Linked DNA regions of Lonchura striata. The protein of the gene in region 3 purifies or fractionates together with the protein of the main gene of each other region. This does not show direct contact. Links are inferred from orthologs where the notes say so. Each region holds a gene or a part of one and is shown on either strand. Other genes may lie near its edges. The genes, in order: MAPK14, MAPK1, PTPN5 and ATP5PO.

What was found.
Region 1: the proteins of PTPN5 (region 3) and MAPK14 purify together in Homo sapiens (affinity purification with mass spectrometry; 3 studies listed by BioGRID and IntAct, with this or other methods). This does not show direct contact. The link is inferred for Lonchura striata from reciprocal best matches to the Homo sapiens genes PTPN5 and MAPK14.
Region 2: the proteins of PTPN5 (region 3) and MAPK1 purify together in Homo sapiens (affinity purification with mass spectrometry; 4 studies listed by BioGRID and IntAct, with this or other methods). This does not show direct contact. The link is inferred for Lonchura striata from reciprocal best matches to the Homo sapiens genes PTPN5 and MAPK1.
Region 4: the proteins of PTPN5 (region 3) and ATP5PO purify together in Homo sapiens (affinity purification with mass spectrometry; 3 studies listed by BioGRID and IntAct, with this or other methods). This does not show direct contact. The link is inferred for Lonchura striata from reciprocal best matches to the Homo sapiens genes PTPN5 and ATP5PO.

The regions. Positions count from the first base shown.
Region 1 is NC_134632.1:4,665,641-4,673,107, forward strand, and holds the start of MAPK14 (mitogen-activated protein kinase 14), read left to right. Parts: upstream 1-4,451; 5' UTR 4,452-4,672; coding exon 4,673-4,788; intron 4,789-5,237; exon of another isoform or gene 5,238-5,267; intron 5,268-6,788; exon of another isoform or gene 6,789-6,885; intron 6,886-7,467. UniProt on the Homo sapiens protein: Serine/threonine kinase which acts as an essential component of the MAP kinase signal transduction pathway.
Region 2 is NC_134620.1:7,339,875-7,347,418, forward strand, and holds the start of MAPK1 (mitogen-activated protein kinase 1), read left to right. Parts: upstream 1-4,211; 5' UTR 4,212-4,423; coding exon 4,424-4,566; intron 4,567-7,544. UniProt on the Homo sapiens protein: Serine/threonine kinase which acts as an essential component of the MAP kinase signal transduction pathway. MAPK1/ERK2 and MAPK3/ERK1 are the 2 MAPKs which play an important role in the MAPK/ERK cascade.
Region 3 is NC_134608.1:47,987,446-47,995,855, forward strand, and holds the start of PTPN5 (tyrosine-protein phosphatase non-receptor type 5), read left to right. Parts: upstream 1-5,002; 5' UTR 5,003-5,111; coding exon 5,112-5,184; intron 5,185-6,269; exon of another isoform or gene 6,270-6,355; coding exon of another isoform or gene 6,356-6,428; intron 6,429-8,410. UniProt on the Homo sapiens protein: May regulate the activity of several effector molecules involved in synaptic plasticity and neuronal cell survival, including MAPKs, Src family kinases and NMDA receptors.
Region 4 is NC_134604.1:116,173,129-116,180,788, reverse strand, and holds the start of ATP5PO (ATP synthase peripheral stalk subunit OSCP, mitochondrial), read right to left. Parts: upstream 3,391-7,660; 5' UTR 3,344-3,390; coding exon 3,314-3,343; intron 3,181-3,313; coding exon 3,130-3,180; intron 2,405-3,129; coding exon 2,294-2,404; intron 1,796-2,293; coding exon 1,666-1,795; intron 871-1,665; coding exon 758-870; intron 235-757; coding exon 148-234; intron 1-147. UniProt on the Homo sapiens protein: Subunit OSCP, of the mitochondrial membrane ATP synthase complex (F(1)F(0) ATP synthase or Complex V) that produces ATP from ADP in the presence of a proton gradient across the membrane which is generated by electron transport complexes of the respiratory chain.

The DNA.
Region 1 (7,467 bases), on a different chromosome or scaffold from region 3:
GCAATAGGAAGGGAAGATTTGGAACTTTGCTGAACAAGAGGAAAAAAAAAAAACCTTTTAAGTTTTCAGTGGAGACCTTTCATGGTGCCAATAGCTAGGAATCCATTTCATCTTAAATCAAAGCTGTCATAGGAGAGCCAATAGAATCTGAAAATTAGGGCTATGCCTTTCATGGGTTTTACATTACTCATTTTGAACAGAGCTGAGAGAAGCTTGGCATGAAGCCACTGTCCAGAACAATGTAGGGAAGCATATGTGGTTTGAGAATTACTCAATACCATTTGGGCCTTCAGTTTTTCCTGTCTTTCAGTCCAAGAAGATCCAGGATTCAGTTTTCTCTGCAGTTAAGAGACTCTACACAGTCTTCTTGAAAATCCAAGTTCATATCTGGATATAACTCTTAGCCAAGGGTGGCCAGAGTGTCAAGGTGGTCAAATGCAGTTCCCATAACAAGGTGACACCACCTGAGCAGCGAGAGGGCCCTGCTGGCATGGGAGCACAGGACAGCCCAAACCTCCAGCCCTCGAGGAACTGGGCTCACAGGGACTGCTGGAGGTGACACCCCTGAGCTGCTGTGGGTCCCTGCTGCATTCCCAGGCAGCCTCACCTCAAAGGGGGCTCCTGTGGAAACAGTCACCTCTGTGAGGGTGCTCCCCACCTTCCTGCATTAAAGGGAGACTGGTGAATATTTAGTGTCACCTTCATTCTTTGAAGCTTTTTCTATGGGGGAAGAGTTTGAAAGGTCAATATCCTTGCATTAGACTATTTTGTGCAATGCCAAGGTGAGGGAGTTAAACAAGTGGTTTCATGAGCAGCAGAAGTCAGGAACCCTGCTTTCCTCCAGATTTGGGGAGGGTTTTCTTCTCCTTCTTGCCTCGTTCAGGTGTAGGACCCCAGCACAGGATGATTACCCAAGACTGGATTCTTTCCCTAGGTGGGACAACTACTGGAATATTTTACTCAGAACAATTGCTTTTCCTGGAATTTCCAGCCACCTGCCCAATTCAAACTTGGCTGAGACAGCTACCAAGCTTAAAAATTATTGCAGAATACTGACAGAAAAGGCATAAGCTCCAGTTCTTCAGGAAGTCAAGCTATCTCTGTTTTTCACTTCCCCCATCATCCCAAAGACAGCTGGTGCAGTAACCTCTGGAAATAAAAAACTTGGAGCTTTTGCCCTCCGCTGGCAGGATTCTCACTCTGTCAGAGAAATAAAAACAACAACAACAAAGTCATTCCCTCCTGCAAAACTCAACAGGATGCTTCTCCAGCTTGCACACAAAGATGTCTTTGCCCAAACAGGAACACAGGACTCAAAGCAACAAACTGGATTATCAATCCATTACATTTGTGAAAAAATGGAGAATTCAAAAGGGGATCTACCCAGCCGCATTTCCTCAACTCCATGACAATATTTAAGTTACTGGCAGGATAATTTAACGTGAAGGCTTAAATGTCAAGCCAAATATTCTACCTTCTGCTGTTCAGCCTGACTTCAGCAAGCTGTTCTGCAGTAGATTCTAACTCACCCAACTTTCTGCCTGTCCAAAGCAGCCACCTGTGTCTCTGCAGTGCTCTTGTGTGGCCTCCTGTGCCCACCAAGGTTTGCTGTGTTTGCTCTCTGCAGGCACAGGTGTTATCCCAGAGCTGGCACACACCATCCATCCCAGGCAGGCACCTCTGTGCCCTTGCATGCCACTCAGATGAATCACAAATGCTCTGTGTGCTGTTCACCTGATAGCTGGAGAAGCACAGAGCACTGGATACATCAGTTGCTTGACCTAATTAACACTGCAGAAAAAAGAGGGGATGGTATTTTGATTCCTCCTGTTCTGACCTAGAAGAAAACCACATAAACACTGCATCTGGGCAGCAAAAATTAACAAACCTATCCCACCTCCCCAAAATGAGACAAATGTTTCCTGAATTAAATTATTTAGTGAGTGGGTTAAATCAGGACTTGACCTACATGATATATTTCCCATGTATGTGTTTGAATCAAAATTTCCAGTAGCTAAACTCTGACTAACCCCACCGCCCAGTGCTCCTTCTTCCCCCTTTTAATTCCTGGCATGTTGGTGATTTTTTTTTTTTTTTTTTTTTTTTTTTTTTTATTCACAACCCAAATATAAGTAAGGCTTTTGACATCCCTGAACTGTGAACAGTGACCGTGGGGACTCACATTAACATTACAGAGCTGTGTCCCCCTCCATAATTTCACTGTCAGGGTGGCTCTGCTGACAAGTGCATACAAAATGGAGAACAGAAAAAACACATGAAACAGGGAAGTGGCAAAGAAACAGGGAAAAATCATGAGGAAGCAAGGCAGACATTTTTCTTAAACAATGAGCTGGAGGAAGAAATAAAATATATTTTCTTATTAGACAATGCAATGATAAAGTTTCCAATAATATTAGCAAAATTCTGCCTTTGAATTCTGGGCAAAACTTATTGTATTACATCAGGTAATTTTGGGTGGACAGACTCTTAACTCTACATCACATGTCACAGTTATACACGATTCAACTCTTGCCATCAAGTGATTTTGTTTCTCTGACTCCAGAATTTCATCCAATCTCCATCTTAGATTTTTAAAGATATTAAATGACAGAACAGAAGGCTTTTGCACAATGTAAATGATCTCACTATTACAGAAGGTAACCTTGTTGACAAGTCTTCATGGTTACTGAGAAAACAACACCAACTCAAACTACAGCTCTGTTTGCCTGCATTTATCACCTGAAAATTCCTTTACAGCAGTGTAAGCTGGACAAGACCCGTAGTTTCAGGCTTCAGTACCACACGTGGCTAAGCTGATGAAAGAGCTGGTTATCCAGAAAGAGAAGCCTGGCTCCCCTGCTTTCCTTTCCCTGTGTGGTCCTGTCCCTTTTGGCAGCAGCAGGCTGATAGATTAGCTCACCACACCTTGGAGAACCTCACCCAGTGGCTCAGTCTTGAGTCTCAAGCCTTGTCCCCGTCTCAAGAGAACAGTTTAAGTTTCAGTACACACTGAAACAAAGCCCAGATAAATGATGAATAAGAGATTCTGTGTTTACTTTCATAGGAGGACTTAGCAGAACAGAAAAAGCCATAACCACTGAGAGTCCAGACTAGATCCAAAAAGAGATTCAGAAAGAAAACTGCAATATTCATAGTCAAACCAAACTAAAACAAAGAAACAAAAGCACAATCACTGAGACCTGTTTGTTCTGATACCACAGCAGGGACTCCAGCATTAGATTTACTGTCTTGTACACATACACATCCCCAGCCACTCCAAACCACAGCAGGGCGAGGTGTGTCTGACATCCTTGAGCACAATCACCCTTTTCAAGGCAAGGTCATACATGCAAAACTAACAGCAAGAGTTTGCAAATTAAAGGTGTTAAGAATCCTAACATACCAAGAAGTAGTTACTTTATAGGTGCAAGCAGTGGTAACTTTTAAGTGTTTACTCCTGTGGGCTTCAATGACTTACACCACCATAGGAGAGGGTGCCACTTTGTGTAGAGAAGGGGTTTGATATGGGAAGCCAAATGTTTTAAAAGCAAGCTTCCGTGACCCATTCAGAATGTGTGTATCTTGCTAACAATTCACCTTTCTAAAGCTTGAGATTAAAAGCTAAGTGGCCTGAACATGAATTATTTTCTGTGATATTCTGTACTTACTGTCTGGTGAAGACACCATGGGTTCCACTCCAAAGTCAGCTTAATCTGCCGCACTTAATAACTTTAGACTTATGCATGTACTGGAAAGCAAACACATCTGTGTCTTTGATACTGCAAGGCCTTTTGAGCAGTATTGAGACGCAGCTTATTCTCAAAAAACACAGAGAACGATCAGGACACTGGGAAATGTGTGCAGCGCGAGCTTAGCTCTCCTCAACACCTCTGGAAGGGAACAAACCATCCTCGGGAAGTTTAGAAACAATTCACACCAACTCGCAAGCTTCCGCAAGCATTCTCATCGATTCTCCTTTTGTTTTTTCACTTTCGGAACACCTCGGGGAGAAGCGAGGCGCTCGCTGAGGCGCGGGCGGTTCGCGCCGCCCTCCGCGCCGCTCTCGCGAGACGCCGCCGCGCGGGCTCCATCTTGGGCATCGGTGCGCGGAGCTCCGCGGGCGCGGCCGTGCCGGGCCGTGCCGGGACAGCGGGGACAGCGGGGCCGGCGCTGTTTGCGCTGTGTACGAGGTCGCAGCGAGGGGCGGAGGCGGTGGCTGCGGCGCCGCCTGCGCCGTCCCACCTGCGGCGGCAGCGTGTCCCCGCCCCGCGCGCCGGCGCCCCCGCCTCGCTCGCCGCTCGGCCGCACGACCGCCGGCCGCGCCTCTCGGGGCCATCCAGCCCCTCGCGGCGCTGCCCGCGGAGGGAGAGAGGGAGGGAGAGCGGCGGGGGAAGGCGGGGACACGGCCGCGCTCGGCCTCGCCCCCCGCGGCTGCGGCAGCGGGGCGGGGCGGGAGCGGCCGGCGGCGGCAGCGGGGGCGTCGCTGCTGCGGGGCCGCCCCCGCCCGGAGCGCCGAGGGGAGGGAGCGAAAGGAGGAAGGAAGGAAGGAAGGAAGAAGTCGCTGGTGCCGCTGCAGGAGCAGGAGGAGGTAGTGGCGGCGGCGGTGCTGCTGCAGCCGCAGGCAGAGCCTCCCCCTCCCGCCGGGCCGGGCGGGGCGGGCTCCGCAACCGAGATGTCTCAGGAGCGGCCCAAGTTCTACCGGCAGGAGCTGAACAAGACGGTGTGGGAGGTGCCCGAGCGCTACCAGAACCTCTCCCCGGTCGGCTCCGGGGCCTACGGCTCGGTGTGGTGAGCGCAGGGAGGGGACGGGGCAGTGCGGGGGAGGTCGCGTTAGGTCGCTGCCCCGCCGCCCTGCCGGGTCCGTGCGGGGCGGGCACCGCGGCGAGCGGGGCTGCTCCGTGCCCCGGGGGTTCCTGTCCCCCCGGCCTCCTGCAAGAGACACTTCTCCTCCCGGGTTTACGCGCGGTGCTGCCGGGAAGCCGCAGTCTCGTCTTTGGAATGCGTCGGGGATTGCACCACATGGCAGGTGGCTCCGAAACATTTTTGCAGGGGAAGATAATAATGTGTCCTTGCCGGCTCCCCCCCGTCCCGCCCCGAATGAGCTCATATGGATATATTTCAGTGACTTACGGACATATTTCACTGTGATTTCTTGCAGTTTGTAGGTGGGCAGTGCAGAGGGATGCAGCCTGGAAAGCCCCCCCCGCCATAGGTGGCTTTGCAGAGCTAAGGGCTTGGCAGCTCTTGTCCCAGTTTTCTTTCTGGACCTGAAGAATAAATTGTATTTGAGTCAGTTGTATTTTCATCCGGAATTTGTTGATAGGCAAGAAATAGAATGTAGGGAGGGCTGTTTTTGTATTCCTGACTTGTTAATAGTGGATTTACAAGCACCGATATTTTATTGGCAATAATAGATGAACACAGGAGGACTCGTTTTATTGCTATAGAATTACTGCAGCATGTGCTCCCTGGGAGAGTAAAGTCCTGCTATGAGACCTGCAGGAATACAGGGAGCTTGAAGAGTTTAGTTTTTAATGCTTACCTAATAGGAACAAACCAGGCTGCATGTGTGAGATACAATGCGTCCTTAATTTGTAGCTTCTCTGCTGGACTGCGGTGGATCATTAAACATAAATAGAGCTGCATGCTTGGCTTAACCTTAAAGACAAGGTAGTATTTGAATCGGTTTGACTCTTAGACTTTAGCAGTCATTTAGTTAAATGTGCACAGATTACTGCCTCCTTTGATTAAGAAACATCTTCCACCTGAGTCTTTGGGTTTTATTCTGTGTTCTTTGCTTCTGTCAAAGTGTGAGCAGAATTTTGAAATATGGGTGCATAATTACAAAGCTGCTTTGCTGTTTTGTTGGAGCAGGCATGCATATGTGTTTATTAATGTATGCAAATTTACATTATGGGTATCAGTTTTATTATAAGGAGGGACACATGCTGCATTCTCTTAGTACAGAAAATAAGCTCCTTTGGACATGCTACAGTTTTAATGAAATGCTCAGCTGTTCTTAACCTGTTATAAAATTGTTGGTAGAGTTGAGCTTAAATAACTTGCATTTTTTAAAATGCTGTGATTGAAGTGTGCAGAGGCTTGCATTTCATAAAAGTAAACCAGGCTGGTCAATTTTGTAGTGAGAATAACCAGTATATTTGCTGAGGTGTGTTTTTGGTTTGTTTCTTGTTTTTTTTTTTTTTTTTTTTTTTTTTTTAATATAATTATAGAATAATTTTGATTGGAAAGGAATAGACAGGTTTCTTTTGGTGAAAGAAGAACCTTGTTGACACAGCTGATAAATACCCCTGTCGGTGTCACAGAGTTATGCAACTTCTGAAATGTAATGGGAAATAAATTTGCTTGGTGCCTTGTCCTTTGTATTTTAAGGTTGATTCTACATCATATACCCCACTCCTATTTTCTTTTCTCCCTCCCTGTAAACTCCACTGTATAAGTAATAGTTGCAAAGTTTGTTTTCAACCAGTAACTAAAGACTTTGCATCATGAATTTCCTGTTCTGCTGTGTCAAAACTTTGAAAGATTGTGCAACTTTATTCAGACCAAGTGAAACAGTTTTGTATTGGAAGCAATTTCAGACATGTGGCAGACTTTTTTTACAGTCCATGTTAATGGCTTCCTGTATGTTCTTCTAAAAATAGTTTTCAGAAAAGATATAGTGATATGGAAAGTATGTCAAAATTGAAAAATTCAAGAAAACGACAAAAACTTTTGCATATTTATGGATGCTTATTAAGCTACAAGTGGTGATGCATATTACTTACGGTATTCCTGCGAGGACTTATTCTGCTCTGTCCCTTTAGAGATTTTTTTCCTCTCCAGTAAAAAGCCACCTAATTTCATTTGGTGTTTGGTGTATCCCTGTTGGGATAGTACATAGTGGTGTTTTAACAATCCTTAAAATGGTAAATCTATTTTCATGTATGTTCACTATTATTATATTCAAATGTAATCAAATGCTCTGTTGTTTAAGTTGTCAAAATGAGGCATTTGAAAATGAGGCATCTCCAGAAAGTGGAGGGGAAAATGAATAAAAAAGGAAGCATTAAGCTGCCAGATGAGTCACTTAGACTATGGAGCTGTTGTAAGCTGCTTTGAATATGGCTTGGAACTCCCTAATACACAAACCTGACAACTGGGGAGTCAGTGGATGGAGGGAGAGGCATTTTCTGCAGGACTGCCTGAAGTGAGAGCAAATATTGCAGTGTTTTCTGAGGGGTGGTGTGCAGTGTTGCAAGAATGAGGTTCAAATGGCCAGCTCAAGTATTTTTCAGGATCTATTTTTTAAGAACTACAAGTGTTAGAGATACAAATAGGGATTTGTTTCCAAAACTTAGAGAAAAATCTACGCATATCCTCAGATTGATTCTTCCTAAGTCACGTAACAATTGCCATGGCACCTGTTGTAGGAAATGCTGTTTCATTCATTCTTGCAACATTTTG
Region 2 (7,544 bases), on a different chromosome or scaffold from region 3:
CACCCCAGCAGGCGCCGACGTCGGGGAAAGCAAGTCCTGGTGAGCTCTTTTTAGCAGGCCTGGCACCAGTCCCCAAACTGGTTCTCCCTGAATAGACTTGTGTGTCTGCCAGGGGCTTCCCTTGCACACAGCCAGATGCAGTGGGGTCTGGATATCACCCCTCCAACCAGGGCCCTTCTATTCCCACAGCTCAGTCCCACTGCCTATTCATTTTAATTGTAAGTTACATTCTCCCCCTCCATATTCTCTTTTATTCATTCTTGCATCACCCTTTTTCCTCTGTTTTCACATCAGCCAACCTCTTCATTACAAAAGTTCCCTACATTTTTTGCTATGAGCAAAAAGCATTAAAAATGCAATATTTAGACAACATAAAATCCTAATAATCCTGTTTTTACATGCTTTGACTTCTGCCTCTGCTGGAGGCATCACTTGTCCTGCCTACAGCTGAACCAAAAATAAATGTGGGGGAAACACACTGCATGTTCTAGTATTTGTAAATTATTAGACTTCTGAGGTTATGTAATAATTTTGTAAAATTATGTAAAAACTTTTAATTTCTTAGCAATCAATGATACCAGAAACAAAAGACTAGCTAAATCTTATTGTAAGAACTTAATAGCCTTCCAGTGTACAAGGCTTCAGCACGAGAAAACAGGGGTCATGTAGCAGGACCTCAGTGAAGACTCACAAGTCGCTGTAATATGCTGTGTAAATACTTAATATGCGTATGTTTCATTTTGCCAGTCCTGTAAATTAACTTTTTATCTGGTTATTCAGTTCTCTTATCATCCTCAGCTTGTTTACTGAATTTCATGTCTTGGGCAAGATGAAGCAAGCTCATGAGGAGTAGCTGGTTTTCAAAAGATACAAGCTCCAGATAACTGAGGACAAGTAAGGCACACAACAATATTGAAATCACTCAGAGTTTTATTGCAGCTGACTGAGACAGAGTGTGCTTTGAGGCTGGGAAATTTCCATTCCTGAACTGCAGGACAGTGCCTGGATACTGCTACAACTGCAGTTGAAAAATAAAAGCAACTTAATTTTATACAGACAGCTACAAAATGTTAGTATATTAATTAAAATAGCTAGATTTATATTATAAGCTTTTAAGGTTGCTGTAAAATAGATCCCTTTAAAAATATTTAGAGTATGATTGTAAATTACTTGTTCAAAACTAAAGAATATGAAAATGATTTGAAATTGCAACTGTGTTTTCAAACTGTATTTGTGAACAGCAAAACTAACCAGAACATGATAGATAATACAAGACATCTCCTACAACAGTGACAGGTTCTGACAGTGACAGAATGATACCCAGTGCAGGATCAAGGCTGTTACTGACAGAATCATTCTGCAATTAATAATCTTTTGTGCTCCCCTTGGCATGCACAGAACAACCACAGCAATCTGTTTTCTCATCTTAACTCCATGGTGTCTAAGCTCCATGTAAAGTCTGCCAGAATGTTGAATGCAGAAAAAAAGAAATACTGGGGAGGAAAGTAAATTTTTTCTGGCACCAAGGCCCAGCAGTGTGGATGAGAGATTGTTTTTAACCTCCCAGCAGTGCAAGATTACAGCAATAGCCTCATTTTCATTAAGGTCGTTTTACACTGCGAAAGCAGTGGTCATTCACATGAAGATGAGTCTCAAGGGATTTCTGATGTGTGTCACCTGTTCTGTCAAGCCCAGGTAGGTACTGACTAGAAGTTATTACCAGCTGATGCTCTTTCTGAATCTTAGGATAGTTCCCTGTGGATCAGAGCTCATATCTAAGCAATTTCAAGAACCATCACCATGGTTCCTGAGTGCCTTAGAAGTTAAAATATATCTTTATAAAACATTTTAACATGTCTTATTTCTCTCTCTCATCACCCCCGCACAAAGGCTTGAGGTCTTTTTAAATAATTCTGGTAAAACTGTATGTACTTAATGCCAGTGTTTGATTGGGATGATGGGGAGGTTCAGGTTTATGCTGACATACTTGTACAACAGCTACCAAGAAAGCCACGGCTGCAAATCACACAACCGGTATAATTATGATGATTTTAGGAGATGTGGCTTCAGTTTTAAATTAGCACAAAGATCTGAGATGCCTCCCACCCCCACTACAGAGGGACACCATAGGGCAGCTCCATGCTGTTTGTCCTCAGCCTGACCCAGCACTGCTGATCCCAGGGCTCAGGGGCCCTGTGGTACAATGTTCCCTTTTCAAGAGACCTATTTACAGAACAAGAATTAACAGTTAAAGCAGAAACGAGTAACAGTGCAGGGAATTTCTAGATCCTGATTGTAGGATGAACTCATTCATGTGACTCCTGAACTTGACTGAAGATGGAGACAGTCCAAACCATGACGTATTTACACTGACTTAGCTAATGGCTTAGCTTTTTCTTAATATTCCTGTTTCTGCTTACACAAACTCTTCTCTGTTCAAAATAAAAAGGTCTTTTCCTTCTGCTTCTCATTATCTGCTATAATTTTTTAGTAAGTATCACCTCTTCTCCCCCTTCATTTTGATCATGGAACTCATAATTTTCTTAAAACATGTTTATGTGCTTTCCAAAATTGAGGCTTTTATGTCACCTTATTAAGGCAAAAGACCCAACATTAAGTGCAGGTAATGGCAGTGTATTTAAGTAGGGTGAAAACTGATTGATACCACTCCCATCTGCTCTGCCTATCTCAGCAACTGCAGAGCTTCACTGAAACACTGCACCCAGTTCTGCCATGGGAGGAGTTGTTGGGAGAGCATGCTGTAGCCTCTGACCATTTACTCGGGTTTAATTGGATTAGACATATATTTGAACACAGTGCTCAAAAGAGCTGACAGTCCTTCCACGATTTCCTGGCCTGCCTGGTTGGTTTCCTTTTTGATCAGACACATCCCACGAAGGTAGAAAATAATTTAGATATACACCAGTTTTTAATTAAATTTAGTATGGCAGGCTGTGTTTAAGCTACATTCTCCATAATAATTTGTTTTGCATTTGCTAATGACAGAGTTATATATGTATGTAACAGAACTGTAAGCAAATTTTCATTTTTAGAGTTAAAAGAACCTTTAAAATAATACTGTACTTGGTTTCAGAAAATTGAAACACTTGCATTTACTGGTGTCTGAAATTTCTGAGAAAAAGAATGCTGTGTGTCTGAAGTGCAGAACGCATCACGAAACAAAAACCATCATAGACATGTAAAAATTAATACATCAGAAGCATTATCCCACCCAAATATACAAACCACGAGCTGTAGAGTCGAATGCCTGTTAAAGACAGAGGCGAGTTTGTTGGATTTTGGTGCTTGTCCCTGACAGGTTTCCCTCCATCAGCCGAGGCTGGGTGGCTCCCGGAGCCCTGGGGCAGCCGGGGGCGCAGCCGGAGCCGGGACTGCGCTCCCCGCCCCGGGCACCACTGAGGCGGCTCGGCCGACGGCAAAGGAGCCGGGTCGGAGCAGGAAGGGCCGGGAGAAGGCGGGATGCCAGAAACGACCTCGGCGAGTTGGGAGAAGCGAGGCATCGCCGGGGCCATGGGTGCGGACAGACGCGAAGCAGCGGAGATGCTGGCAGAGAAAATATCAGTAGTAACCACGGTTAGTACTTCTGTCAGGGTCATTAGAGAACTGCTGGAAAGGGCAGAACTGGAGTTAAGATCCTTGTGCATGAAGCCCTGCAAACAAGGAAAAAGCTGTTTCAGGAAAACTCTGCCTTGCAGAAAACCAGAAAAGATACGGCACGGTTGCAAGCAGTACTCAAACCATGACTAACCTTCAGCTGAGATTTTACCTCCCCTACAAAGTTTATTTACATTTATACGGGAAGCAGCGAACAGGAAAACGTCATTACATGTAAAAACATTATGCTGAAAAGAGTTTGCAGAACCGTGTGAAGCCGGGAAGGGTCACAAACGAAGTCGCGCTCATGGCAGGGCGGAGCGGGCTGAGGGCGGCCGGGCCCGGCTCCATTTCCCGCCCGTCACCTGACGCCTCTAATGGCGCCGCGCGGCCACGTGACCCGCCGCGCGCCCCACGTGACCCGCGGCCGCCGCGCCCCCTCCCCAGCGGCTGCGGTTACCGCAGTCCCCGGCCCCGCCCCCGGCCCCGCCCCCTGCGCGCGCGGCCCCGCCCCGCGCCGCTCCCTGCGCGCGCGTCCTCGCCCCCCCCGCTCCCCCCTTGCACCTCCCGGGCCGGGCGGTGCGCGCGCGCGGCCGGCGGCGCCTCCTCAGAGCGGCCGCGGCGGGTTCGGCGCTGACGGGGCCGGCGGGCCGAGAGCGGCGGAGCGGCCGGAGCGGGCGGCGCCTCTTCCTCCCTCCTCCTTCTCCTCCTCCTCCTCTCTCCTCCCTCCCGCATCCTCCTCCTCGCCCCCCTCCTCGCCCGCCTCCGCCCCCCCGCACGCAGCACCGCGGTTCCCGGCACGGACAACATGGCGGCGGTGTCGGGGGCAGGGGCTGCGGGCGGCTCCGCCAGCGCCGGCGGCCCGGAGATGGTGCGGGGACAAGTGTTCGACGTGGGGCCGCGCTACACCAACCTCTCCTACATCGGCGAGGGGGCCTACGGCATGGTGTGGTGAGTGCAGCCGCCGGGGCAGCGCCCTTGCCCCGGACAACTCCCTCCTCCCTTCCCTCCCTCCTTCCCGCCGCCCTGCCCGGCCGCGGGCCTGGCCCGCCCTTGCCCTCGGGGAGGGGGAGCAGCTCTGCCTCCCGCTCCTCAGCTCTGCCTCCTCTCCGTGTTCCCGAGGCTGTCTCTCCGGCATCACCCTTCTTTCCCTCCCTTCACCCCCCCATCCCTCGGTCGGTGGGTGCAGCTGAGCGTCTCGTTTCGTTTCGCTCCTGCGTTTATTTTCTTTAAATCTTGTGCCTCTGGAGTTGGTCGCTCTCGTTATTTCCTCCGTCTCCGTAGTGCGATTGCAGACGTTCAGGAAGGGGAGGAGGTAGTAAATCCTGCTGGCAGCCCCGCGTCCCTTCCAGTGCCCTGCGAGGGCTCACCTGGCTGCAGCAGCCGAGGTCGCGGGGATAAAAAAGGTGAATCCGAGCATAGGAGTTGCTGCCGCTGCCTGACTTTGCTCAGGACGTGCTGTCTGTGCTGCAGAGCTGGCCGGATTAGTGCCTGCCTTATTGTGTGCAGGTGAAAGTTATCTTCAGCCTTCCTAGGTCTAAATTATATTGTATTATAAAGACTTAGTCTGAGTCTCGCTGAAAAGCGATCGTGTAGGTTTGCTGTGGGTAACATCGGTCTTACAGAGAGCCGTGAACGAACTACAAAAAACGTGAACTAACTGGATTGAGAGTGTGAGATGGATTTTTTAGCAGTCTCAATGAGCTGGGGTGATGCTGTCTGATCTGTGCATCTAATGACTAGGTTATTAACCTGGCATGCTCAGTAGCCTTACTTAGGATTTCATATTTTGTCTTCCATTAGTTAAAAAAACCCTGTAGTCCTGAAATAACTTAAGGGATGCAGATAAAAAATTCTTTTTTATTGCTGTTTTATCAACTTCTTTGCAACGCTGCCTCTGTTTCTTCAGTATGATTTTTGACCAGAAGTACTAAAAGCAACTTACAGGCTGTGACTTAATGAAAGCTTTATCAGCATTAATTTCTCTCTCTGATGGGGAATCTTTTGTAAAGCAGTGTATTTCTCAGCGAGGACACCTCACAGCCTTCAGCTGTGTGCTACATAGATTTTTATAGCTGTAGGTTTTTGCACATAGTCACTGAATTGTGCTGGCCTGTCAGGATGAAGTCGTTGTGTGTTTCAGGGAGGGGGCTTTCATCTAGGCCTGAGTTCAGCTGGGAGATGAGCCTCTCTCAGAGTTTTGTGTTGTGGCCTTCACTTTTCTTACTTTGCTGTGGGAAGATTCTTCAAAATGTAAATCAAAAATCCTATTTACTGTATAAAAAATATCCTTGTTATTGTTTCAGTGTTAGAAATCACAGCAATATATCTAGTCCAAAATTTGTTGATATATCTTCTGGTACAGGCTGTATTTTATTATGGTTATTTTATCATCTGGAGCAGTGTAAGGAAATGAATGCAGATAATCTCAGTAGTGGCTGCACTGGTTTGCATTCACAGTCAGGTTTTTGAAGGTCCTGGGGAGTAGCGTAGCTGAGGTGTGTGCTGGGGACAGTCCAGTTGACTTCAATGGGGTGTTAAAAACTGGGTTTCACAATCAAAGTGAAAAGCTAAAATATTTCACCACAGATGAGGGACTGCAAGAAGCAGCATGATGGCAGTTGATGCCCTTTTTTGGCATCCCTGTGCCAGTGTTCAGATACAGGGGAAACGGGGCCACTTCTGCCCCTCCAAATGGTGTGTGGTAAACTTCTACACTGAAGCTGTTTCCACTCTAAATCCAAAAGACTGATTTTTATTTGAAAACTTCTTCTGATACTTTGTGTCTGCTGTGAATGCTGTGCAAAATCACTATCAAATTGATAATTTCCAAATCTCCAGTTCAGCTGAAATACACACTTGGCTCCTTGCACTTGTCTGTAAAATTATTAACATAAAATGCCACATTATGTATTTTGTGCTTGTGATTATTGCTCTTGTGCCTTGGGTGTGAAATGACAGGGAACAAAGTCTCAGTTTATGGCGTGTACACGATCAGGAAAGTGTTGGATGCACTTGTAGCAGTGCCATAGCAGCTGTGCCCTATTGTGGTGACTGCGATGAAATGCGATTGCCTATCAATCCCAGCCATGCAGGTTGAGCAGTTTACTGCTCTGTGTTTCTTGTTTTGCTCTGGTTGCTAATGCAGTGAGGATCTGCAGAAGCTTCTCCCTCAGGGGGTGGGGTAGAGGGCAAGCTGTGAGTGTGCAGATGGAGATGTTTCCTGCAACTGCAAAATCCATTTAAATTTGTACACGTTAATAAAGGAAAGCAAAGCAGGTCCTGATGGTTTTGTTTTAGACCCACAGCTAATGTGGAGCTCTTTGGAGATGATGGTTATTTACAAGTGCACTGTGCCATAAGGCTTGTTACTTGGCAAACGAGTGTCTTTTGAATCTTAAAATCCTTCACTCTCTCTCTTGTTTTATCCTGATTCTTATGTTTCTACATTATTGGATTAGGGATTTGAAAACAATAAAATGCTTTCGATTATATGAGTAAAAGGGCAAATGAAGTATTCTTAGGACAGTGCTGTTATGGCCAGTCTTCCATTTTGATTTTGCAGCAGAGAGAATAATGTTTGAGAAATATTGATCACAACATAAAATACCAGTACAGGAAATAGAAGAAGATGTTGGCTGAAGAGACTGTACGTGAATGTTCTCTCATCTGGATTTGAAAACCCTTAAAGGCATTTAACTGTTTTCCCTAGTGCAGTCATTTTTTTACATAATCAGATTTTGAACAAAAATAAACTCAGCAGAGCAGTATATTTACTGCTGTGTTGTGGTTGCACTTTCTCAGCTTCGTAAGCAGAAAAGACACATTATCAGGCCAAACCCCAACCTAATGTCCTCCAGTTCAACTCTGCCAGAATCGTTCAGCCTGTGACGCAGGCTTCTGCCTTACTCTTGTTGCAGAGGGTGAAG
Region 3 (8,410 bases):
AATTCTGGGTCATAAAGTCATTCTCTGACTCAGAAGAAGGTTTACAACAGCTGTGGCAGTGATATGTACTGCAGGTGAGTCATGTTGAACTGTCGTAGACAGGTAGAAGAATTATAAAAGAGAGGCCTTATGAAATCAGGCCTTGCTCTGCTAAAATTGCCAAAGCTGGCCTGTCATTTCTTTCAAGTGCAGCTAACAAGAAATTTGCAAGTTCCCGTGTGAAGCTATTTTGAGAATGAGAAGTTCATTTAACACAACAATCTATTCTGAGGGTAAAAACAAATGCACCTGTGTAAACAATAAGGTTTTTCCCCTGAGAATGCACAAAGGAAAATGTCAACATATCTAGAGAGAGAAAATTTGATAGGCATATACAATAACCCGTACAGACCAATGAACTGAGTTTCACTATGTTGCTGACCAACTGGGCTTAACACAGTCCTTCTGAGATTTCCTACAAATATTATGAGCTTTGTGAATAAAGAATTGGCTTTCTGCATTAAGAAAATGGATTCTCAGCAGTTTTCTTCCAACATGTGGTGATCATGAAGATGCAATTGACACAAATTTAACACAAAAAAAAGAAACTATGGAAATACCCTTTACCACCTCACACAGGTCCAGCTAGAGGTGTCTACAGACACAGCATCTCCAAAATGTCTGGTTTCTAGTTTTCAACACATGCTGCACTAAGAAAAGTCAGGATTAAGTCACTGAAAGTCTTGTTGGATATTCTCTTTGTTTACTTCCCCATTCTACTGCTTGATTTGTGAAATTTCTTCTTCCAGCTGCACAATAATTCATTCAATCTCATAATTTTTACTGACAAGAGGGACCCATGTGGATTCCATCTCACGCAGCTTAGCCCCACCTGTGAGTTGCATGTTCTTCCCCTGCCAGTTCAGGTCTTGAATGTTTTTCTTCAATTTCTGAAGCTCTTTCTGGGCTTGTTCTATCATATGAACTAAGTGCTCATTGTACAACATCCAGCATTGCAGCCATGCTGGGACATGAGCTCTAGGTTCTCGATGCACACGGCCTGGTGCTCCAGCTGTGCCATGAATTGTTCACACACTCCTGCCAAGCCATGATGTTGTTTTTCTGCCTAGAGGACAAGGTGGGCAGCTTGTACCTCTTCATACTGAGTAGTTCCAGGGATTGCCAGGCCACCAGGCTTTCAGATCTTGGTCTGCATGATCTCAGTGTTGAAGGCGCTGTAGTCGTGCACGGGCAGGTAGCTGAGGTAGTTCTTGGTCAGCCAGTACTGCCGCGTCTCTTCCCCCACCAGCGCCGTGGCCACCTCCCGCACGCGCGGTGCCTCGTAGCCCTGGTCAAAGTAGGGCAGCGCATCCACCACCACATCCCCGGCCACCAGCCCCAGCACCAACATCTTGGCCATGGCTGTGCGCACTCACATCTCACCCAGCAGGACCGCACACGGCTTTCTCCCAAAATTATTTGCAGCAATTAATTTTAAGTACTTAACTAAGTCCTATAGCCTTGAATTTTATCTGCAGCAGTTCTTTAAAGTTTAGAAATAATTAGCTGATGAAAAAAAATTTTACTCCTGAAGCAGATAAAGTCAGAATACAACCTGACACCCTGTGGGTCAGGGTGTTGGTAGCAGTCCGAATAAATGATGGCTGCAGTCCTCCTGGAGTGAGAAATGTGGTTCTATTGAAGCAGTGATCCTGTAAAAGTTTTTCTAGTTTTTCTCTGAAGGTCCAGTGATGGCATAGAAGGGTCTGGTCTTCCTCTGGGAATCCAGTGAAAAAAAGCCCACTGGTGTTCCACATCTCAAATTATATCCAGGTAGGAATGCTTGGCTCCTACCCCTGGGTGGAGCATCTCACAATGGGATGATGTCATTTTATCAGCCATGCAGTGAGACTCAGTGGCCCATTAACAGAAGATAACTCCTGGTGAGAGGATGGGTTGTTGAGGAGATAAAGAACACTGCCCCACCTGGTTTTAACAGCTGATCATAAAATCCATACTTCTGGTTACATCTTGCATTGCAGTCTAAGGTGGTTAAATATTAATTTTCTATATTGTAAAATATATAGTTGCTTTCTTTTAAGAGATAAGTTTACTCTAAGACAGCTGTGATAAACACTGATAAACACCTGTTGGTGCTTAGATACAGTGTATTCACTCTTGATTTTGTCGAAGATTTTATTGCTCCTTACAATCTCCACTTGTTTTATCTTCCATAGATAACACAGAAGAGTCAGTGATGATTCTACATTATGCCTGTTACTGATTGTAAGCTGGTTTAGAGTTTTCCTTTGTTTTATTTTGCTGTCTCAGGTACATGGCTGTTTAGAAAGGTGTGATTTCAATTTCCTAAGATGGTAACCACTGGTATATTGAGTACACTATGTGAATTTACTGATTTTATACTCTGCATTATTCATAAGATGCTATTACTGTATTTATAGCCAGCTTCTTATATGCTTTAACATCTCTTTGTGCAATTATCTAAAAGACACGTGTCATTTCAGAATCTTTCCTTTTTTGTTCTGTAGCTGCTTTTCCATCCCTGTGACCAAATACATGAAGGATTGCACTGCCTTATCTTATAATGATACATTCATTGTTCTATAACAAAAGATTTGACAGTGCTTTATTTTCTACTCAGTTTTCAGGAACACAAAATTTAAAAAATTAAGGTCCTTAGATACTTCTCTCCACAGAAATCAAAATCAGGGTGTTTTTTTTTAATTCAGAGGCTAAAATTTTAGCTGATATAAATATTCTGGCAAGCATTAAATTTGTGGCATATTGGTTTAAAACAGCTCAGAATGTGATTCTAGATTAATGGGACGAAACCCCATGTTTATTGATTATGTAACTGCAAATGCAGATATGTCTCGAGTGCAGCATGCAATGTACGTACCAGCATATAACGAAATTTTCCATGCATATTCAGAAGTAGAAAATGTTCTTTTCAAATTAAATTGTATGAGATTTAAATAAATAAATAGAGTTTGGTGTTCAAATGAAGAATTCTAATGAACAAAATCAAGAAAATACATAAAATACTAGTTAAAGGAATTACTGATTTTCAGCGCATGGCTAGTGAGGTAACCACTTACTTTGTAGGCCCCCACTACCTCAACATTTAATCCTTTGTGCAGTAAGGCTACTAAAACTAACATCACAAACTGAAGTGAAGAATAGTCCCAGCCAAAGCGCTGGGACAACCTCTGCTCTCCAGCCAGAGATTGTGAATAGTGTGTTTAACAAGTCACAAGCATTTTTGGGACAACTGATCTGAGGGAAAAAAGGATTACAAGGCTACCCCACAGTACCAGCTAATCACTGGGAAAACCAAGTGGGCTTTAAACTAATTTTGAGATTGTTTCCTCCCTGCTAGTACTTCTGGACAGTAGTCCTAGTTCAGGTATTAGGTGCTGGATTTTTATGAGTACAAAATGAATAATTGCCTTTGGTGGAGTGAAGTAGGTTTATAATTGAGGAACTAACCAGTTGCAGAGGCATCTCTAAGGCTACAGTCGCGTCTCTAGCTCGAGAAGACATCAACCTTCCACCTTCTGCCTTGTGGGAACAAACCCAGCGGAGGCATCGCAGTGTCTTCAAGCGACCTTTCAGCCCCCTCTGAGCAGAGATGCCGGGAGGGGTGCCGCTGGCAGTCAGCGACCGCCGGCTCCCCTCTCTCAGGAGCCCACAGCCGGGGCCGGGCGCTGCCCCACAGCCGGGGGAGCTGCCCCACAGCCGGGGCCGGGGGAGCTGCCCCACAGCCGGGGGAGCTGCCCCACAGCCGGGGCCGGGGGGAGCTGCCCCACAGCCGGGGGAGCTGCCCCACAGCCGGGGCGCTGCCCCACAGCCGGGGCCGGGCGCTGCCCCACAGCCGGGGGAGCTGCCCCACAGCCGGGGCGCTGCCCCACAGCCGGGGGAGCTGCCCCACAGCCGGGGGAGCTGCCCCACAGCCGGGGGAGCTGCCCCACAGCCCACCCGGGCCGACCAGCCGAGCCCGCCGCCCCCGGGCATCACTGCGGCAGCGGTCCCGGCGCTGCCGGGGGCCGGGCCGGCTGCTCCCGCTCGCTGCCTGGCTGTTTCATTCATGCTTTCTCCTTCGCCATCTCCCTCTCCGACTGAGGGGAAACGGGAGCGCGCGTGGGCGGCCGCTGGAAGGCTCCCTGTCAGTCAAGCGGCCGAGCTGAAAAGAAGGCGAGCGAGGGAGAAGGAGGCAGAACAGCTTTCCCGGGGGAGGGGGCGGCTGTTGTCGGCTGCCAGCCTCGCAGCCCTTCCCGGGGGCATCTGCAGAGACGGGGTGGGGGGAAGGCGGGAGCGGTGTTGCACCACAGACCTTCCCGCTGGGGGGGAAGCGGCTCTTTCCTGTCGCTCGTCACCTGTCCCCCCTCCCCACACACGCACCCAGCGGCGACGGGGCGGGAGGCGGCGGCCGCCTTGTCTGCGAGCACCCTGGGTCCGTATCCCCGGCTCTGTGGGGGCTGCCCGTACGTGTCTGCCGGGGCACCGAGCGGGGCGAGCCCGGAGGGTGTCAGTGGTGGGGAGTACGTGGGGTAGCGCGTCCCCTCGGCTCCCCGCAGGACCGGGGAACTTCCTCAGGCTGAGGGGCGCTCCGGAGTGCCGGCACCCAGCGCAGCGGGAGGAGGCTTTCGAGGGGAGGCTCGGGGCAAGTTGCACGCTTTCGGGCGGGGGGGCGGCCCCGCAGCGGGCTGAGGTGGGCTGGCGCTCGGTACCGGCAGGGGAGGGGAGCGGGCGGCTGCCGACGGCGGGAGCGGGGCTCCGGTGCAGCGGGGCCGGGGATTCGGCGGGGGAGAGCCCGCTGCCCCCACCGTGCCGCAGCGCTGCCTTTGTGCTCCCTCCGCACCTGAGCGCCGGGCTGGGAGGGACGGCGCAGGTGGAGGCGGGCAGGCGGCAGCTGCGGCGCATCCCCGGAGCCGGGGCGGGGAGGTAAGGCGAGGCTGTGCCGTGCTGCGGCGGCCGCTCCCGGGGTGCGGGGGGCGGCTGCACGCCGGGGGCTGTGCCTCCGGCCGGCGGCGGGGGCGGCGGGCAGGACACGTCCCTTGCTTGGCTTTTCCCGCAGCCGTTTCCCGTTTCGTCCTGCTGCGCGCAGAGAGATGCAACAGCGGCAGCCCGGTCCCCTGGGGAAGGACGGGGCTTGGAGGTGGGCGAGTGGCATCAGCCCTGCCGGTGCGCGGTGAGGCTGCCGGGCGAGGGGCTGGGGCCGAGGGGAGCAGCCCGCAGGGCCCGGGCACGGCGGCGGCGCCCACAAGGCTGGGCTTTTCCCCCGCCACAGAGCGCCGGGATGCGCGGAGCAGATGCCGGTGTATGCGCCTAGCGGACCTCGCTTGGGAAGGGCTGGCGGATTTGGGGGAGGCTGCTTTCGAACTGGCACAGCCGGTTGTTAATTACCGGCTGCAGTTAAAATTTTAGCAGCAGCAACAGCTTTGCGATGCTTTCCGGGAATGCTGCTGCCTGGGAGCTGATGTTCCAGGCGGCCCGCGGTACGGGCCATCTCTCTCCTAGATGGCAGTGGTGAGAGCAGGATAGCTGTCTGTGTAGGCAATAAAGTGTTGAGAACCTGGAGTCCTGTGCAGCTGGATTTTGGTAGTTATGGGTGGAATGGAATAGCATTCACATGTGCCCTGTGAGCTTTTTTTGCAGTTAAGATAATTATTTTCCTTCAAACTTCACATACGGTTATCTTGTTATGCAATTACATTTTGGTGAGACTGGGATTGTTATGTTATGTGAGAAAGGAAAAATGAATTTAGTAGGTTAAGCCTTTTGTATTGCAAAAGGCAGCGTTATTTACAAAGTTGTCGAGGTTTGGATCCAGCTCCGCTGGCTGCCACCTGATTGACATCGATTTACAGCTGGTGGTCAGGCTCTGTGTTCGTGTTAGAGCAACAAATGACAGATTCAGAAGAAATGTGGCTCCATTACGCTCTTTTTTTTTTCTTTACTTCAAAAACGTCACATACACTGAGGAAGCAATTTTTTTGTTTGATCACAATGTTTTGTTAGTCAGTTTCAGATGATAACTTCCTTGTTGCATAAATTGTGCAGTTCAAGTTCAAATCTCAGGCAGACCCAGAGTTCATGTTGATTTTAGCACAAGTTGTATGGTGCATGACAAGGGTGCTGAATTTTACTGTGTGGGATAGCTGAAGCAAATTTTCTTGCTGCTTGCTCTACTTCCAGTTTGTTCCTTTGGAGTAGTAGAATGTAGTGATTTTGCCAATGTTGCTGTTGATATATTTGAGTTAATGTTGTACATTTGAAGCCAAGGATAGTTCAGGGGCTCAGTATATGCCCATTGAGAGAGAAGATTCAGCCAGTTGACTTGAATGTTGGTGAAATGGACATGAAAACTCTTACTCTACATTTGCAAATAATGAGTCCAAACGTTCTCAGTAGGTATGTGCAGAAAGGTAAGCACATCACGTTTGGTCGTTTTATTCCTTTTGTTATAATTAAACAGGCATTATTCTCTATAGGGTTGTGTCATTGGTTTGTTAGGTTTTTTTACTTCTTACTTAGCAGTATTATGGTTTAAGGGCTTTAAAATCTTTGTCACTCCACTGCAGAAATAGTTGCCAACAGGATGTCATGCATATAAAACTAGAACAAGAGCCTTTAAATAGCAAAACCATCAATTTAGTAACAATTTAGTGTGATAAATGGCAGAATGCACAAAAAGAATGCAAATCTGAACAATTATAGCATTCATCTTTTGGTATTAATATTGATTAAGTATAAAGCACAAAAGGCAAATAGCCACATATAGCTTTGAAGTGCCTAACCTGGTCTGAAACAGAAGAGCTGTTTTCTGCCTTGTGGGTTTTTTCCTGTTACATGGTTTGTACTTTAAAAACAAGCATGGGGTGGGGGAAAGATCAGGGAACTTTTTACAAACATTTCTTTTGTTTTCTGGATCTCAGAATTCCATTATGTAGCAGGATGCTTTCCAGTTTCTGCTTTCTCTGTATCTGTAAAGGCAGATGTTGCTGCAGTAGGAGCAATTATACTGATTTGCAGCACAATTAAAAAAAAAAAAAACTATTCTCTCTGCCTCTGTCTAAAAAGGTCAACCATGGTTTGGTCTTGTCAATAGAAGAGATGAGACAGGGAAGTTAAGTTTGTTTAACAAAGAGAGTGAAGTAATGTACAATTAGGAAATTTCTGTTTAATGAATAAAATGAGTAGATTTGCCTAACCAACTACACTGAAGAACTTCACTTGCTTGGATTTCCTTCACAATTGTCCACAAGACAACCCTTTCTGAAAGGCAGGGGGTTTAGCTAGGTTTGATCTCTCTCACCTGTGGAATGTTGAGTCCAAAGGCAGGAGAGGCAGTGGAGACTAGAGGCATGTAGGCTTTTGTAGAAGAGCATTTCTGACTTGTAGTTTTTTCAAAAGGTTCATGACAGAAGCCTATAACTGAGAACTTTGCTCTCACAGTTCATTTTCAGTTTCCTGCTTACCCTGTGCAGGCCACAGGAGCGTGTGACTGGTGTGCCCCAAGATTCAATCCATGATAAGGCCAGCTTCTTCGTTCAAACTGATGCTTAGAGGGTTTATATTGAGACTTCAGAGATAATGTGTTTCTACTTTAGAGAATATTTGAGATTTCCTTGCAAAGAGAACATGAAAATGAAATTTAAGAGCTGAAGGACTGATTTGCACTAAAGCATCTTTAGCAGAATAAGGCCAGCAGACATGTAGAGTATTTGTGTGCTGCATGTATCCCTGCTACCACAGAGAGAGCAAGCTATATGACAGTCAAGAAAGGCAAAGGTTTTGAATATCTCTGGAACATCACAGTATTTTTTATTTCATGATGGAGCTCATGTTCTTTTCAGACTCCTCTTAATTCTACCCAGAACTAAGACTGTTCTGATTCTATGCAGAACCAGACTGTCCTGTGATTTTGAGTGACTTTAAAGAGTTAGTATGGTAATAATTGACATCTTAGAAAATAGATTCAAGCTCCTGTGTTGTAAGAGTCCTGATCTGTGACCAGCTAAAATGCCAGTAAGTCGTAAGTTATTGGTTTGTTTCTTTTTTACTTCCTTATTTAGTGACCTACTGCATGTAACCTGGCTCCTAACCTCTTTGGGGCAGGACCAGCCTTTCCTAACTTGTTTCAACAAGGCTCAGATCCTTGTTTGCATCTAGGAGATGGATGTAGTAGAAAGTATCCCTCTGGTAACCTTGGTTTAAGGTCATGAGTAGCTGCCAAAAATATTTAGGATTTGCAGGAGTTGGATCTCTAGCATAAAAATTTTATTTCTTGTTTGTTTTGCAATTCAGTATCATATTTTGTTTCATTCTGTGTGTAGGGGTATAACAGCTGGACAGTGCAACTTTGTGTATTTTTATAGCAATCCTGTGGACACAACTACTGTGCTTA
Region 4 (7,660 bases), on a different chromosome or scaffold from region 3:
AAAACATCATCATGTCTACAAGAAAGCACAGAACTATGTAACAAAGCAACTAGATTCAATAAAATATTTTTGCTTTTGTAAAAATCAGAGACACAGAAGCTCTGAACATGAACTTATGATAGTTATTTGTAAGTCAAAAATCCAGACCTTAGTCTCCAGCTTCAACACCTCTCCTTTGGCCAAGAACCCATTAAGAACACTTTTCAGTTCAGTGAGGCTGGCATCATCCAAGGGCTGAAAAAAAGAACAGATGAGTAGGAAAATGAATTACTTTAAAATACTCAAATGATATAATGATAATAAATTATATAATAATATATACTCAAATTATATGATACAAATTTTCTCCTCAGGTCCCTTTGAAGACACATTTCCACCATAACAGGGATAAGCCAAGGACAGCACAGGAACAACAACCACTTTGTGCTCTCCTGATTGCATGAAACATCTTCATGTTAGAAAAAAGAACAGGGGCAGCTCTATGCAGACCAGCCTGACTTTTGTCAGCCCCTGGGTTCACACACAGGAAGGAAAACCGTGAGCTGCTCAGTTGCAATGGGGTGAAGAGTTTTCATTTTGGAACAGGAACTGCGGGGTATCAGCGCTCTCTTTGCAGCAGTTTGTTCAGCTTGGCAGAGGTGAGACACTCTCACTGCTCTCACAGCAGCTACTTCAATCTCAGAGCGCAGCCTGAACTGGGAGAGGTCTGTCCTTTCTCCCACTCCCTGCTGCCTGGATGCACAGCTCCCCAGCCCACCTGAGCCGTGGTGACCGTGCACACCACCTCCCCTCGGAAGGCGCTCATGATCTTCCCGAAGGCAGAGACGATGCCCGGGGTGTAACGCAGGCGGCCGTTCTCAGCCAGCAGATCTGCAAAACAGCCATGCACCACTTCACTTAACCAGCTTTGTATCTGGAAACTGATAAGCTAACCACTCCTATGACTCCTTCCCATTTTTCTGGCCAACACATTGCCTCTGGAAACCTCCCTCAGTGCCAATTACCCCATCACAGAGAGGGATTAGTAAGAGAAACTAGCAAACCCCTTCTGCCACCATGACTTCTTTAGGGTAGTTTTTGGTTTTTCATTTTATTTGTTACTATTTCTCACCCTTCAAACGCAGTGGGGTAATTATCAGTTACTCTGGACTTTAGTAAAAGGAACAGGGGAGAAAAAGCCATCATTAAGTCTGATCTCAGACTTCAGGGGTTTTGCTTGCTAGGAGAAATTGAACTCTGGAAGTTGCTCTATTCTGGCCCCTCCATCAACTACTTTCCCACTGAAATTACAGCACACCAGAAAAATTCTCTGCATGCAGAGCAGTTTCCACCATGCTGGCAGTGCCAATGCTTCTCCGGCTTGGACACAAAGCAGTTTCACACCCAAAGGAAGCATTTGCTACTTGTATCAGCCTTAGCCACCTAGTCAGTGGATGTCTCCTCTTTTCAAAATACAGCCACAGAGGACCCTGGATCTCTCTCCCTTGTAGTCTCCCCTTGAGCCACTGCAACACTGCAGGAGCAGGAACAATCTAGATCTCTGTGAAAGGGATCTGAGTTCGGAGTCACAGCCAAGTGCTCCTAAGCACCACCAGAGGCAGATCCCAGCAGCCAGCAGCTGGATGGCACTGCTGGGATGCTCTCCTGAACCCAGAGGTCACTCACTCATCAGGTTGACAGTGATCGGGGACATCTTCTCTCTTGCCAGGGCGTCGTTCACAGCTTTTTGTTTCACTGAGCTCTTGGTGTGAGGGTTCATCACCACGCTGGACAGCTTGGGGTCCTTCAGGAGACTCTGAGGGGATACACAAGGATGTGACAAACGCCAGGGGTTTTCCTGGCACCACAAAGCCCACCTGGAGCAGCCAAGGCAGGCAACAAGGGCATTCCTGTAATGACAACAAAGAGCTCTGGAGCTGATGGGAAGTGAAATGGCAGCTCCAGCTGGAGAATCAGGGAATGGTTTGGGTTGGAAGGGACCTTAAAGATTGGGTGGACAGAGACACCTTCCACTACCCAAGACTGCTCCACGCCCCATTAAACCTATCCCTGGACACTTCCAGGAGTGAAGCAGCCACAGCTTCTCTGGGCACCCTGTGCCAGGGCCTCCCCACCCTCCTAGGGAACAATTCCTTCCCAATATCCCATTTAAACACCAGGGTCACAAGCAGGCAGTGCAAGCCGGGAGTCTCACAGGTCACAGGAGCAGTCCCACAGCCCCATCCCTCCTGAGGAGCAGCAGGGAACCCTCCCCATTCCCACCCCTGGGAGTTTTGGCTGTGGAACACCTTACCCACACCCGGGTCAGCTCCTTCTCCACCTGCTCCAGCTTCTTCTGCTTGCTGGCTGCCGAGTAGAGGGCGGTGGCATAGCGCCCTTCCAGCCCGTACACCTGGATGGGGGGCTGCGGGAGCCGGGGCGGGCACTGAGCGGGGAACCGGGGGAGAGACCCCCTGCCCCCGCCGTGGCCAGCCGGGAGCCACCGTGCACCCCGCCCTCACCGTGCCCACCCCGGCCACCCGCCTGCAGCCCCTCACGACCCCTCACCCTGCCACCTCGACCAGCCTGGACACCTCCGCTAAGCACCTCGGGGACTCCTCGATATCCCCACGACCTCCACCTCCTCACCTCGACCAGCTTAGAGACCCCTCCCGCTCCCCTCAGGACACCCAGCTCCCAATCTTCACCAGCCTGGAGACCCCTGCCTCTCCCCTCAGGACACGCAGCCCCCCCAATCTTCACCAGCCTGGAGACCCCTGCCTCTCCCCTCAGGACACCCAGCCCCCAATCTTTATCTGCTTGGAGACCCCTCCCGTTCCCTTCAGGACATCCACCCCCCAATCTTTATCTGCTTACAGACCCCTCCCGTTCCCTTCAGGACATCCACCCCCCAATCTTTATCTGCTTGGAGACCCCTCCCGTTCCCTTCAGGACATCCACCCCCCAATCTTTATCTGCTTACAGACCCCTCCCGTTCCCTTCAGGACATCCACCCCCCAATCTTCACCAGCCTGGAGATTCCTCCTGCTCCCCTCAGGACACCCAGCCCCCCCAATCTTCACCAGCCTGGAGACCCCTCCCGCTGCCTTCAGGCCACCCCAGCCCCTTATCCTCACCCCCTCCCCTCACCTTGACCAGCTTGGTCACCGGTCTCGCCGCCGTCGTACTCAGCTGCCGCACCTGAGGGGGAATAAGGGGGAGAAGAGCGGGGTCGGCGCAGCCCTGGAGGGTCGGAAGGAAGGGGATGCTGGAGGGTGGGAGCCGGCGCTGTTCTCCCCAGAGCCGCCCGGGCCCCGCCGCCCCCCAGTTTCACCTTCAAGACGAGCCCGGCCGCCGCCGCCATCTTGCCCGGCCGCCCCCAGGGTCACCGCGCGCTGCGCAGGCGCGGCGGGCCACGCCCACCCCGGCGCCATTATGGGTGTCACTCGTGCCGCGGGGCACGCTGGGAGCTGTAGTTCCGCCGGGCGGCGCCTGCGAGCTGCGCGCCCCCTGCCGGGCCATCGGGGGAGCGCAGCCCCCGCGCCCGGCTGGGGTCCCTGTGACACCAAGTGTCACTGTGCCACCAGTGTCACTGTGTCATCAATGTCCCTGTGTTCCTGTGACACCAGTGTCACTGTGTCATCAATGTCCCTGTGTTCCTGTGACACCAGTGTCACTGTGCCACCGGTGTCACTGTGTCATCAATGTCCCTGTGTTCCTGTGACACCAGTGTCACTGTGCCACCGGTGTCACTGTGACACCAGTGTCACTGTGTCCCTGTGACACCGGTGTCACTGTGTCATCAGTGTCCCTGTGTCCCTGTGACACCAGTGTCACTGTGTCCCTGTGACACCAGTGTCACTGTGACACCAGTGTCACTGTGCCACCGGTGTCACTGTGCCATCAGTGTCACTGTACCATCAATGTCCCTGTGCCACCAGTGTCACTGTGCCACCAGTGTCACTGTGTCCCTGTGACACCAATGTCACTGTGCCGCCAGTGTCCCTGTGCCACCGGTGTCCCTGTGGTGTCCCTGTGTCCCTGTGCTGTCCCTGTAGTGTCCCTGTGGTGTCGCTATGTACCAGGTGTCCCTGTGCCCCTGGCATCCCTTTGTCCCCAGTGTCCTTGTGCCCTCAGTGTCACTGTCCTTATCCCCCTAGTGTTCCTGTCCCCACAGTGGCCCAGTGCCCTCCGTGTCCCTGAGCCCTGCTGTCCTCCATGGACTTCTCCAGCATGGGTACTTCCCACAGGATTGGTTCTTCAGGATCAGGCTGCCCCAGTGTGGGTCCTTTCCATGGGGTCATTCCTGCAGGAACTTCTCCCTTTTCCATGGGGTCATTCCTGCAGGAATTGATCCTTTTCCCATGGGGTCATTCCTGCAGGAACTGCCCCAGTGTGGGACCCTTTTCCTATAGGATCTCAAGCCCTTCCACCAAACCTGCTCCAGGGGGGCTCCTCTCCTCACAGGGCCTCAGATCCCTGCCAGGATCTGCTCCAGGGTGGAATTTCCATGGGATTACACCTTTTGTGCATCCCCTGCTCTGGCGTGGGCTTCACCAGGAGCTGCAGGTGGATTTCATCTCCTCCAGGGCTGCAGGTGGACCTCAGTTCCTCCATGGATTGCAGGTAGATCTCAGCTCCTCCACAGATCTCCAGGAGTTGCAGATGGATTTCAGCTCCTCCATGGATCTCCAGGGAGTGCAGGTGGATCTCAGCTCCTCCATGGATCTCCAGGGAGTGCAGGTGGATCTCAGCTCCTACATGGATTGCAGGTGGATCTCAGCTCCTCCATGGATCTCCAGGAGCTGCAGGTGGATCTTAGCTCCTCCATGGATCTCCAGGCTGCACCTCAGCCCCACCTGTCCCTCCATTCATGAGGAGCATCCCACAAGTTCTTCCAGACTCAACACTAGCTGTGCTTCCCTCCCAGAAACCTCCAAAACCTGGGATTTATTTCCTCCCCGTGGATGGACTCCATTCCAACACCTCCCAATTCAAAGGATCTTCCAGGTGGGACAGACAGCTCTGTCCCTCTCTCTGGTGACCTGAGCAGCTCGCTTAGATCCCTGAAATACCTGGAATGGTTGGCTGATGGATGGATGGATGGATGGATGATGGATGGATGGATGGATGGATGATGGATGATGGATGGATGGATGATGGATGGATGGATGATGGATGATGGATGGATGGATGGATGGATGGATGGATGGATGATGGATGGATGGATGATGGATGGATGGATGGATGGATGGATGGATGGATGGATGGATGGATGGATGGATGGATGGATGGATGGATGAGGGATGGGCTCACTCCAGGACGCCAGGACAGAGTTCCAGTGGGGCTCAGTGTCCCAGCGGGAATAAAGCAGTGGCTCCAACCTGATTTATTTTGGCTGTCAGGGTTTAATTCCCTGCTCTGTCCCTGGCTGCATTCCGGGGTGACTCTCCAAGGCACAGGGACGGGTTTGAGCCTGGCATAACTGAGACACAACTTGTCAGGCTGGGAGAGCTGGGAATGTTCACCTGGAGAGGAGAAGCTCCAGGGAGAGCTCAGAGCCCTGCCAGGGCCTGGAGGGGCTCCAGGAGAGCTGCAGAGGGACTGGGGACAAGGATGGAGGGACAGGAGCCAGGGAATGGCTCCCACTGCCAGAGGGCAGGGCTGGGTGGGAGATTGGGAATTGGGAATTGTTCCCTGGCAGGGTGGGCAGGGCTGGCATGGAATTCCCAGATTCCCCTGGATCCCTGGCAGTGCCCAAGGCCAGGTTGGACACTGGGGCTGGAGCAGCCTGGCACAGTGGGAGGTGTCCCCATGGCAGGGGTGGCACTGGGTGGGATTTGAGGTCCCTCTCAACCCAAACCCTGCTGTGATTCTATCACTCTGCTTTTCAATATCTTTAAGAACTACACTACTGAGAAAAGCATGTCTAAAATGTAGAAAAACACTTGTTTTTATTTAATAAAAATGTGGGGTTTTTGATAATGTGCTTACAGTGAAGTTTTCAAAATGATTTATTTTAAGCATGTATTCATATCCCAAATTATTTTATTGTTATTCCAGGACACTCTGTGATCTTGCAGTGTTTTAATAGACAGAAAATCTGACTTTTTTAGGCCAGGGAAGTCACCGAGTGCTGTGGGCACTTTACTGAGCTGGGGATTGGGTCAAAGTCTGATAATGCTTTCAGGAATTAAAATCAGAGCACCTTTCACAGGTTAATTTTGGACAAATAACATCCCCCAGATGATAAAGAGTTTGTACCTTGATGCCTTCCACTGGAAGGAAAATTTAAGCCTGGATAAAACCTGTCCTTGTATTTGGATATCTGTTACAATAATGGACTCCTCCATTGTCACAGATGGGAGGGGTTAGGAGTTTTTTCCTCCTGCAAAGCAATTAAATAATATATTATAAATAAATATTGCCCCTTTGCCATTTCCCTGTGTCCCTGGTTTCAGTCTGGTCACTTAATGAACAAGGTCAGGAGAAACACCTGGAAGAACATTCCCTTGTGGGCCTGTCCCTTTAGTGCTTGTAGGGTTGTGACCTTAAAGTGCTCATTTTAATCATGTGGGGATAGAAAAAATATCCTTTTTTTGTCTCCTGCTGAGTCAGACCACAACTGAGACCATGCAAAGTGTGTTTTATTTTCCTTTCACTGAGAACCCTCCAGAAAGAAGGTGACAATTCTCAGGCCATGGTGGTGCTGGGGAGGTGTTTCCCTCAGGGCCCTGCTTCAGGAGGTGTCCCAAAATCTGGAGCAAGGCTTGTCCAGTTCCACAAACAACTCATGGCACGGAGAGGTGGGAAGAGGAGTTTTTTAACAACCCACCCGAGGTTTTCACAGTGCCACAAAACCTGCTGGGTTCACCCTGCACTGGGCCAGGTCTTTGGGAAGGACCCCAAAAATCCCTCTAATGATTAAACTCCTGAGCTCAGGTTTGGAATCAGAAAACACCAAATGCTTCTCCCCTTCACCTGAAACCTGAGCTCTGTTGTTCCCCACCTGTTATTCAGGAATTTCACCTGGCTCTGCCTGGGACTGGGCACCTGGGAGTCCCAGAGGAGCCAGGCTGGAGCTGGAAACAACTTCCTGACCAGTTCCTCTGGAAAAAAAAACCTTTGGTGTTTACCAGCAGTGGGGGAATTTTCCTCTCCTGCTGCTCCAGTTCATCCCAGAGAACCTGGCCCCAAAAAGTCAGGGCCAAGCTCACCCCGTCACAACCATGGGCTTGTTCCTGCAGCTGCAGGAGGGGTTGGAGGGGCTTTGTTGGGGTGGGGTTTGTTGGGTTTTTTCCCTCTTTCCCAAGGGTTCCAGAGGCACAGCTGGTGCTGGATCCAGACCAGGGGGTGTTTTCCACACTCTGCCCCACAAGCGTTTCCCCTTGGGCAGGTAAATCAAGAGCTCCCTGGGGATGGAGCCTGTGCCCACCCTCCAAACCCCCCCTGCCCAGCACGACCTGACTCATTTCCCCATTCAAAAAGGGTTTTTCACTCACTGGCAGGGACAGAAAACCTTTAATTTTATTTTTTCCCCTCCAAACCGGAAAGAATGATTGAAAACCCACAAAAACTATCAGGGGAATTCCAAACAGGGGCAATGTCAGTTGAGTTGGGTGACTGAACTCTCTGCCCTCAGCATTACCACACTCCTCTAAAAGCTCTTGATCTGCAAAAT